3 linked regions of the Canis lupus familiaris genome follow. Each later gene encodes a partner of the first gene's protein in a complex. Links are inferred from orthologs where the notes say so. Each region holds a gene or a part of one and is shown on either strand. Other genes may lie near its edges.

Region 1 (3,652 bases):
AAAGAATTTAGAGCACAGGAGCATCTGCCTACACCTTGATATTGGCGAGAATTGACCAAACTGCTTGGGATTTCCTGGTACTTGTATACGTGAGGTGGGATGGAATTACTTCTACTCCTCTCAAGACCCTATAAAAATATCTTTCTTAGCTGAAGATGGGCGCTGTGCTTTTGTAAAACAAGATTTTTGAGGCCTGATTTTCATCTACTTTTCTAAAATAAGTTCATAGTTTAGGGAATAGCCGTCTTGCATATCCTTGACCATTTTATCATTCCAGTGGATATGTAGCTACAAGAGAGGAAAATGATATCAGGAACAAGAGAAAATGTACTTATTTTCTTTAGGTCAGCTTATCATGTGATCTTCAGAGGGCTGGAATGGCAGTGAGTTCTCTGCAGCAGAAGTTTTGTTTATCGGTGTCAATGACATCTTTTCCCATGGGAAGTTTTTACAGATATCTTTCATTTCCTCCTAGAAAACAAACCTGAAGCAGATGGACAATCCTATGCCCTTAATGGTGACAGCACAGGATCCTTCAAGTGTGCCCAGTGCCCAAGATTCAGATGGCCAGTTTCTTTGCTGCACATCAGATCCCAGGGACAGCCAGCTGCACTCTTCTCTTCCTGAGGACCCTGAGAGCTCTCCATGCGCCCAGGGGAGCACTGTTGGGGAGATTGAAGGTTCCTCTGATTTTTCATGTGTGGCTAAGGAAGAGAACACAGACTGTTCCTGTAAGAAGGAAACTAAAGGCGTGGAGAAAGAAGGGGAAGAGGCGGAGCCATCGCTTACTGTGGACTGTGGAACCATGTCTGATCCCAGCAGCCACCGTCCGAGCATGCCTGCTTGTGGAGGAAAGGGCATGGGAACCCTTCCACCCTGTGGAATCAGAAATGGAGAAACTGGAACAAAATCCTCTGCATTGGCCACAGACCAGGTGTCTCTGGACACTGGAGACAGCGTCCTGCAGGGAGATGTGGGCATGCAGCCGGCCACCGCTCCCACTCAGCATTTCTCTGGATGTGAACTGGCAGCCGGCATCCCAGTGACTCCAGGGGAGATGGAAAGTGGTCCTGTGAATGCACATGCTGCCATCCAGAAGAATGTGCTTGAAGTCAGGGAAAGTACAAAGGAAAAGCTGGAAAACTCTAATATCATCACAGATGGATCCTCTGATGTGAAAGTCACAAGTCAGACTGCAGATAAAGCCAGTGTTCCAAACTGTGTCTCTGCCACCAGTTCCCCGGATGGTGACAAACCTGCTGAGTCTTTGCTTGCATTTAGTAATGGAGAAGCCTCCCCTGTCAAAACTGCAGAAACAGAAGCGTCAAGAAGTTGTGAAGGGAGTGCTGGGGCTCCCATGGATCAGAGCTCCCTGGTAATTCCAGCTGCTGCAGAAGACACGACTTCAGATGGACTCGAACTTTATGCTCCCTTGACAGGCACAAGTGAGGCAGCATCATCCTCTGATCTAACGTTTCCCGGGCCACAAAAAGACGCGCCAAACCAGAAATCAGAACCTGAGTCATCTCACATTCAAAGCCAAACCAGCAGATCACCCATCTGTTCTACAACTAGAGGGGGCACACCATGTGCTGCCTTTGCATGTGGGCAGAGCTCAGTGACTTCTAGTGGTATGCTGGCTGCAGAATACTGTGATGGCATAGTTACCCAGCCTGAAAGCACCACTCCAGGACTACCCCCCACACAGCATCCCCCCCTTACCCTCTGCTGTGAAGGTCCACAGGCTAATGCAGCCACCCCTGGCCCTATGAGAGATACCCAGGAACAGGTAGAGTTTTGTCCTGTTGAAGTTTCAGATAAAAAAGGCCAGGGAGAAGATTTGAAATTAGGAACATCTTCAACAAATATGCTTGAGGTGCATCCACAGGCAGTTGTCCCCAAAGCCAAGAAAGAACTGGTACCAGACCAAGCAGTGACATCAGACAAGACTTTTTCTCTGGCAAGCAGTCCAGGCAGTGAATCAGTAACCAAAGATGACGCGCTTTTTCTTTTCCCCTCCCAGAAAGAAAAAGGAATAGCAACTCCTGAACTACATACAGCTGCAGATGGTAGAGATGGCCCAGGCAGAGATTCAAATGATCCTGATAAACAGCCATTAGAAGACGGTGCCACAGGCCTATCCACACCCTCCCTTGCTGTCCAGCTTCAGCCCAGCATGGGGAATACAAGTCCCATGGGACTTGGTGGGGAACATGGGAGTGTCTGCCTCTCAGCAGCCCCTGAAGTTCTGGACATCAAGGGGGCTGCTGACTCTTCTCTGTTATGTGCAGGTAAGGCCATTATGGCCTCAGATTCCATTTTGACTGAAGAAGGAAAAAATCTGGTGGTTCCAGAAAGCTCCGAAGCTCAGGGACAAGATGGCAGGGATAAAGCAGCAGCTTGTTCCTTTCTCAAGGAAGACACTCATTCCTCAGGAACATTTCAGGAAGAGCAGAGAACACCACCTCCTGGACAGGAGGCACTGGGATTCTGTGGAGAGCCTGGCTCAGCTGCCTGTGCTGAGGAGAGAGCACTTGAGCGCGGTAATTCATTGGGCACACCCTCAGCCTGCCTGAATGCAGAAACGGAGCATAACAAGGAAGTGGCCCCACCAGTCTCGCTGCTGACTGAAGGTGGGGCTGCACAGAGCCTGGTGCCACTGGGAGCAAGTCTGGCTGCAGACCCAAGCCAGGAAGCTTTGGGTGCAGAGCAGAGCAGCTCTGCTCTGTTGCCAGATCTGTTGCCAGATGGGTCTGAGGCTCTTTCTCGCAATGGATCTTTTGCTCTGGATGTTGGAGTGCAAAACCCTGAATCCCAAGGTAAAAACACTGCTCATGAGGTGAGTGGAAATGTGCAGTTAGATGTTGCCGTGGTTAATGCTTTACAAGGTAATGCGGGGGCCAGAAGAAAGGCTATATTACATAATGCCCAAGATCTCCCAATTCCAGAAGTCTTGAGCCAGGAGAAGAATATGATCCTGGGTTTGCCAGGAGCTTTAGCAGATGAAGGTGTGACTGACCTACAGGGTGCCGCAGCTCCAGAGATGGTACCCCTTAGGGGGAAGGAACGAGACAACAACTGTGGCTTAGCCAACTCCGGGAAGGCACAGGTGGATCCTGAAGCACATCACATCTTGGAGCAGCCTCTTGCCAAAGAGCTTCCCACAGAGACTGGACTCTCAAGTAGTGGTGACCAGGCCCTGGGCAGGGCAAGGGGCACTCCCCTTTTACCTTGTGCTGTGCCTCTGCCCAAGGGAGCCGACTCCATCGAAGAGACTGCGTGTCGCATAGTGGAGGCTGTTCTAGATCAAGTCAGGTTCTCAGGAGCACTGATCACTGGGCGGGAGATCGGTCACATGTCACTCTCCCGTCCTTCAGAGTCCGATCCAGTGACTGAGCAGCCAGAGGGTGCTTCTACAGGGCAAGTGAGCACTTTCCTGCCTGTGCAGACTGTACACATGGGCAGTATCTGTGAAGAAGCCCCTGGTAACTGTGCAGGATATTTGGCTGAAACGGAGGAGCCAGAGAAGATGGTTCTGCCCACTGAAGGATCTGAGCCAGCAACAGGTAAGCAAAGCAGAATACAGATGTAGCAGTTTGAGGGATAAGCTCCCTTAAGAGCCTCTGAGATATGCTGGTAAAAAGGAGGTGTC
Region 2 (3,235 bases), on another chromosome or scaffold:
GATGTGGGATTGAATCCCGGGATTCCAGGATCACGCCCTGGGCTGAAGTGAAGGCAGGTGCCAAACCACTGAGCCACCCAGGGATCTCCACTGAACTTGGAATGTCCTATCACTTTCTCAGATCACAAAATATTACTCTCCTTTTGATTTTTCCCCCCAATCCCTTAAAAATGTAAAAGCTATTCTCGGCTCACGTACTGTACCAAACCTCATTTACCCACCCCCGCTGCGTGCAATGCATACCCAGATGGACATGTTTATAAGAGCAGGCCCCTTGGCCCAGCTCACATTTTATGCATTTTATACCTCATTTGAAAAAATAGGAAAAAAGAAGCAGGGGGGAAGCCTGGGTGTCTCAGCAGCTGGGCATCTGCCTTCAGCTCAAGGCATGATCCCAAGTCTGGGGATCGAGTCCCACATTGGGCTCCCTGAGGGGAGCCTGTTTCTCCCTGTGTCTATATCTCTGCCTCTCTCTGTGTCTCTCATGAATAAATAAATAAAAATCTTTAAAAAAATGATAGTATATGCTTCTGTATTTTATTTACAATAATATAATGAGATAGGTCATCAGGTGAGTTTGGCAAAACAAAATCCAAAAGTTTAATACCATCAAATGCCAGGCAGGGCACAGGGAGACAGGCATGTAGATTGTTGCATCTCCTTAGGAGGGCATAGCTGGTTGCCCTAAAAATGGACATCGTCTTGACCCAGGAGTTCCAATCCTGGACGCTCACACATGTGCGCATCCAGAAAGTTCACTGCAGCGGCTTTGTGTGGGCAAAAGTGGAAACGGCAACGTCCATCCATAGGAGAGCCAGTGCTAAGTAAATGACGAGGTGGGCTGTGACAAATGAAGCTGGTCTCCCAGTGCTGGGACAGAGTGGTTTCCATAACAGGTTGTCCAGTAGGGGAGGCAAGATTAGAATATTGTCAATAGCGGAAACAAGTGAAATGGAGCCTCTCCCATCACTTTTACTTGTGTGGGTATAGAATATGTTTAGAAAGGTACTCAGGAAATCATTGATGGTGGCTGGTTCTGGGGAGGGTGGCTGGGGCACGAGAGGCCTGTCTTTCCCACCAGCCACCTACTTGTACTGATTGCATTTCTAGAACTGTGTCTGTAGTAGATGATGATGAACCAGTCGTAATATGTTCCCATTCACCATGTATTTTTTTCTAAAATTTTATTTATTTACTGGGGGGGGGGTGCAGAGGAAGGGGGAGGGAGAGAGAGGAGACTCCCTTCTGGGCGCGGAGCTGGATACAGGGCGATCTCACATCCCTGAGATCACAACCTGAGCCGAAACCAAGAGTTGGACACTTAACTGACTGAGCCACCCAGTCCCCCCCACCCTCTTCCATTTACAATATGAATTTTGACTCTTTTCAAAGTTACATGCCCATGTGGTATAAAGAATTAAGTAGCTTTTAGGGCAAATACCCATAAAGGAAATATGTAGGTAAATGGTAAAATATAGCATGAAAAAAAAAGCAGTGAAAGGGGACAGGGAGTATGTGTGGGTATGGCAGGGAGTGGGGGGTCCGTTAGTTACTTAATATGATGGTCAGCTGACCACCTGTGAAGGCGACATCTGCATGAATGGCCTGAAGGAGGTAAGGGAGGAGCCGTGCAGATGTCGGGGTGGGGGGATTCCAGGTAGAGGGAATAGCCTATGCAAAGGCCCTGGGCTGGAAACGTGCTTGGTGTGTTCAGGGCGTGGGGGGAGGGATAGCGTGCCTGGAGGGCAGTGAGCAAGAGGGCAAGTGGAAGGAGAAGTGAGGTCAGAGAGGTGACGGGAGCCTCGGTGGCTATTGTGGTTATGGGTGCCTCTGACTTCCCTCTCTCTGCCACAGAGTTCCCCGATCCAGGAAACTACCACCACCCCGGAGCCGCCTTCAGAGACCCAGGAGACCCCAGGCCCCGCCCTGAGCAGGTGACACCCCTCCCCTGCTCACCACCCACCACCCCTGCCTGCTGTCCTTGTCCCCACCAGTGTCCTCTCTCCACAGCCCTCTGAAGAAGTCGCCCCTGACCCTCGAGGATTTCAAATTCCTGGCGGTGCTGGGCCGGGGTCACTTTGGAAAGGTGAGGCAGGGGGCAAGGAGTTAGGGGAACAGGGAGTTCCCGGGCTGACCATTAAGGTCATCGCTGCCCTTTGTGGTTCCAGGTGCTGCTCTCTGAATTCCGGCCCAGCGGAGAGCTGTTCGCCATCAAGGCTTTGAAGAAAGGCGACATTGTGGCCCGAGATGAGGTGGAGAGGTGGGGACCCAGCCCAGGCCCTCTGAGAACCTCAGTCTTTTCTTCAGGGAGATGGGAGACAGAGCAGTGCCCTCTCTGGAGCTGCTGTGACAGTGATTCATAACAGTCACTGGCACTAATTAAGCTAGTACTTAAGATACTAACTCTTAGAAAGCACCCACTATGCACCTTATGTTCAGGAACTCATTCATCCTCCACGACAGACTGATGAAGTAAATACCATTATGGTTCCCATTCTGCTGATGGCACAGAGAGGTTGAGCGAGTTGCCCAAAGTCACAAAGCCAGTAAGCAGCAGGTTGGGGATTCAAGCCTAGGGACTCAGGCTCTGAAGCCTGTACCCTTAATGGCACCATGGCCCACCTCTGCTTTGAGTCAGGGCCCTGGGTTCAAACATCACCTCTGCCACAAATGTGCTTGGAGAGTCTGGGGAAGTCACTTTGCCTTCCTGATCCACAGCCTCCCTGTCTATAAAAGGGGAGTAATAATGCCTTTCTTGCAGGGTGGTCAGGTGGATTAAGTGAGAGGATGCATCTAGAGCATTCTGCACTACCTGGGCCCCTGCAAGAAGGCCCAGTAGAGGCACTGAGATTGTCCCTAAGCTTTCTGACCTCCTTTTGTTGATCAGGAACCCAACTCAGATAGGCTTAAGCAAAAGAGGAATTTATTGCTCTGGATCAGAAAAGTCCAGGAGTGGACTACCTTCAGGCATGTCTGTATCCAGGTGCTCACATGACATCTCTCAGTCGACTTTCCTCTTTGTAGGCTTTGCTTGCAGTCTTCTCAAGGGGACAGAGATAGCCTCCTGCCCCAGCCGTGTAAGACTCATCCAGTAGTTTTAGCCCTTCTTCCTTAATAATTCCAGCAGAAATCCTGAGATTGAGCCCCACTTCCTTGGCTTGCCCATTCCCAAACCAATTCCTGGCCAGGGGAATGGGGTGTTCCCATTAGCCCCCCCTGGCTGTTCCCTAAAGGG
Region 3 (3,232 bases), on another chromosome or scaffold:
TGGCTGGGGTCAGGGCTGGGCTGGAAGGTCTGAGAAGGCTTTAGAGATGTGGGGCCTCCACGTGACTTCCTCCGGGCTGGCTGCCCGCTAGCTTCCTCAGAGCGTGGTGCCGAGGGTTACTGAAGTCTTGGGGTGCCTGGCTTCCATGAGAGAAGTGCTCTGAACTGCTTGTCCCAGGACTGGCACAGTGTCACTTCTAATTATGTTGGTCAAAGTGTCATAGGCCATGCCAGGGTCAAGGGGAGATAGAGGCTGTGTCTGGATGGGTACTAGCATGCACACATAGGAGAAGCTGTGTTGGCGGCGTAGGAGACTGGCTGCTATGGTGGAGGTTAGGTATTTCCCCCAAAAGTTACAAAAGTAATAGAAACATTCTCTAAAAACACAGAGAGAAAGTAAAAAGAAGAAAAAAAATCATCATGGTTCCATTCAAAGACACATAGCCCCTTCTCCCTACCATCGAGTGCCAACACCGTGCATTTCCTTCTAGACATTTTGCCTCTTTCTAAAAAACATCTATGGTTTTTATTTTGCTTTTCTCACTTAGCATCACATCACTCATGTTTCTCTGGATTGTTAGAAACCCCTGTAGGCATCTCTTCAAGGGACGCCACAACCATCTGCCACCAGCTACACAGCCAGTCCCTAATGTGGGACGTTTTATTTGTTTCTGTTTTTTTTTCCCTTCCATCTGAAATCCCTGGTTGACCTGGAGGAGTAACCTCTGAGGCACTGGGTGCCAGGCCTGCCCCTCTCGGTGGTTCTCTTTCAGAACCCCCGCCGGGTAGCCCTCTGTGGGCACTTGACCACAGCCACCAACATAAAGACATGGGATGATATTCGGGAAGGCTCTTGACCATAACAAGTATTTGGTCAAGTGCTGATCGCATGAATTCCTGAGTGGGGTCTCCGAGCATGGCCCTCATGGTCATGGCTGAGACTCAGCCGCCCCGTGGCAGGCCAGTCCCTGGTGCTGGGTGTTTAGACTGCTTCCTAATACTCACTGTTACGGATCACACCATACCATGCATTTTTCTGCCCAGAGCCTGTTTTGTTTTGTTTTTCATCTTTTGAGCTCATTAGAAAAAATTACCAGGAAAATGGATTACGGGGTCAAGAGTCTGGACAATTTTCTGTTTTCCTAATTGTAAGTCTGGTAGGACCCTAGGTCCTTTCCTGGAAACCCACACAGGATCCTAACTTGTGCTACTTGGAATCGGTGACAATTCTAGGAAACAGCATCCTGAATTTGTCCTGTGAAACCCCACACCAGATCACAAGCGTGCCTGCCGCATTTTGCACACCCTCCATCTGTGGGGTGTGTTTATATCTTGGCTAGAAAGGGGCCTTTAGCCTAATGGGAAGGCCCTTTCTTAGCACAATAATTAGTAAGCTGTTCAGGCGCCAGTTGCCAACACGAAGCATTTGTTTGAGCTGAGGTCTCTTGTGTTCATTATGGTGATTATGGCCTGTCAGTGAGAAGTCTCTCTGCTGTTTCAGGCGGGGGGCCTGAGCTGACCTGGTTTTTTTTTTTTTTTTTTAAACTCAGCAGTCAGAATCAACCCAGAGTTTGTTGTTAGATAGCTGGTATTTTCCACAAATGACTTCCCACCAACTGTAGGCAAGGCATGTGGCTAGGGGTCTGGCACGGGTGCAGAGGACAGGCGGCCTCAGTGTCCCCTGCAGGGAGTCCAGGGGGTCCGCAGGGAGGGGGAAGTCTTCCCGGAGGAGGGGGCCTTGGAGATGGGTCCTGCTGGCCACTGATGAGGGTTGGGGGGAGTAGAAGGAGCACCTGCAAACCTCAGTGTCTGATGGGGCCCCAGGGGGCCATTGCCAAAGTAAAGGAGCTGACCAAACGCAGGTCTCAGCATCTCCAGCTTCGGGGAGAGGCAGGCTGACGGGGATAATTTCATTTCCCCTTTGCCTGCTCTGGCATAATGACAACTACCCAAATAAACGGCAGCAGATACTTAAGACCCTGTGGAGACGTTAGGGAGGGGTGGCGTGTGGTGAGCGGGGAAGCTGCTGCCTGTCCCACACGCCTTTGCCGCCTTTGCCGACTGCTGCCCTGGGGGACTGTCAGCGCCTCTGATTTTTCCAGATTAGCTGGCACTTGGGTTTTTATGTAAAGCCTTCTGAATTTAGGTTGTTTGAAAGCCTGATGATGCTCAAACCAGTCACAACTCCGGGCTGGATTTGCTTCCTGAGCCAGTGTGTGCAGGCTGGGTCAGAGGAAGCAACGCTTGCTGTTCCCCCGGCTTTCATCTTCGTTTTGATGTCATGTGTCTGCCCCTCAACCTGCCTTGTGGCCCAGCTTTGGGTGGCAAGCCAGGCCAGACAGGTTCCCCAAATGCCCTGCTCCTGGGGGCAGAGTGTGTGCGCATCTGACCAGAGTTACCGCCCCCACTGCAGATTGAGATGGCCATTCTACGGTTTCCGTATGAATCCTGGGGGACTCCGTTCCAGCAGCTGAAGCAGGTGGTGGAAGAGCCATCTCCCCAGCTCCCGGCCGACCGTTTCTCTCCTGAGTTCGTGGACTTCACTGCACAGTGGTGAGTCTGCAGCCCTGCACTGGCTCTGAGACCCCCCCCCCCCCAAGCCCCAGGTGGCACCCTTCCCTACTCTGGCCCAATTCCAGCTCCTCCTGGTGCCCAGTCCCCTCCTCCGTTAGCAAATAACCACCAAACAGCATGGCATCAGAATATGCAAGGCATTAATAGAGCATAAGGAAACTGTGGCAAACTATGGTCCTTGGGGAGATTTTAATAGTCCTTCTAGAGACGGACAGACCAGGCAGCCAGGAAAAGAAAACAAAGAGCAGACGGGGGACTTGAGTAGCAGACAGAGTTGCTTTATTGACGCGTAGAACTTTGTACCAAGGTAAAGAATGCCCATGGGAGCTCTATTTAAAAAATATGTTTGAGATTGAAAAGGAAACAGGGAAAAGGAAGAAGGCAGAGTCATCCAGGTCATGTTCCCTGCCCATAATTACATCAAACAAGAAGTGCGTAACTGCAGAGGGATGAGATATGTGGTAATGCAAAGTAAATTCTTCTGACCAACTCTTGGAGTTGTTTTGTTTTGTTTTGTTATTTTAAGATTTATTTCTTTGAGAGGGAGGGAGAGAGGGAAGGGTGAAGAGGGGCAGAGGGGGAGAGAGAATCTCCAGCAGACTCCCTGCTGAGCATGGAGCCCAAAGGGGCGCTGGATCCCATGACCCTGAGGTCATGAC

Evidence for each region. Proteins that work in one complex are often made in the same cells at the same time.
Region 2: AKAP13 (region 1) and PKN1 share a complex: the UniProt entries of both Homo sapiens proteins name them as parts of the signaling complex. The link is inferred for Canis lupus familiaris from reciprocal best matches to the Homo sapiens genes AKAP13 and PKN1.
Region 3: AKAP13 (region 1) and MAP2K3 share a complex: the UniProt entries of both Homo sapiens proteins name them as parts of the signaling complex. The link is inferred for Canis lupus familiaris from reciprocal best matches to the Homo sapiens genes AKAP13 and MAP2K3.

Annotation. Positions count from the first base shown.
Region 1 is NC_049224.1:49,656,353-49,660,004, forward strand, and holds part of AKAP13 (A-kinase anchor protein 13), read left to right. Parts: intron 1-475; coding exon 476-3,566; intron 3,567-3,652. UniProt on the Homo sapiens protein: Scaffold protein that plays an important role in assembling signaling complexes downstream of several types of G protein-coupled receptors.
Region 2 is NC_049241.1:48,562,225-48,565,459, reverse strand, and holds part of PKN1 (serine/threonine-protein kinase N1), read left to right. Parts: intron 1-1,854; coding exon 1,855-1,934; intron 1,935-2,010; coding exon 2,011-2,086; intron 2,087-2,168; coding exon 2,169-2,260; intron 2,261-2,903; exon of another isoform or gene 2,904-3,235. UniProt on the Homo sapiens protein: PKC-related serine/threonine-protein kinase involved in various processes such as regulation of the intermediate filaments of the actin cytoskeleton, cell migration, tumor cell invasion and transcription regulation.
Region 3 is NC_049226.1:42,970,445-42,973,676, forward strand, and holds part of MAP2K3 (dual specificity mitogen-activated protein kinase kinase 3), read left to right. Parts: intron 1-2,412; coding exon 2,413-2,552; intron 2,553-3,232. UniProt on the Homo sapiens protein: Dual specificity kinase. Is activated by cytokines and environmental stress in vivo. Catalyzes the concomitant phosphorylation of a threonine and a tyrosine residue in the MAP kinase p38.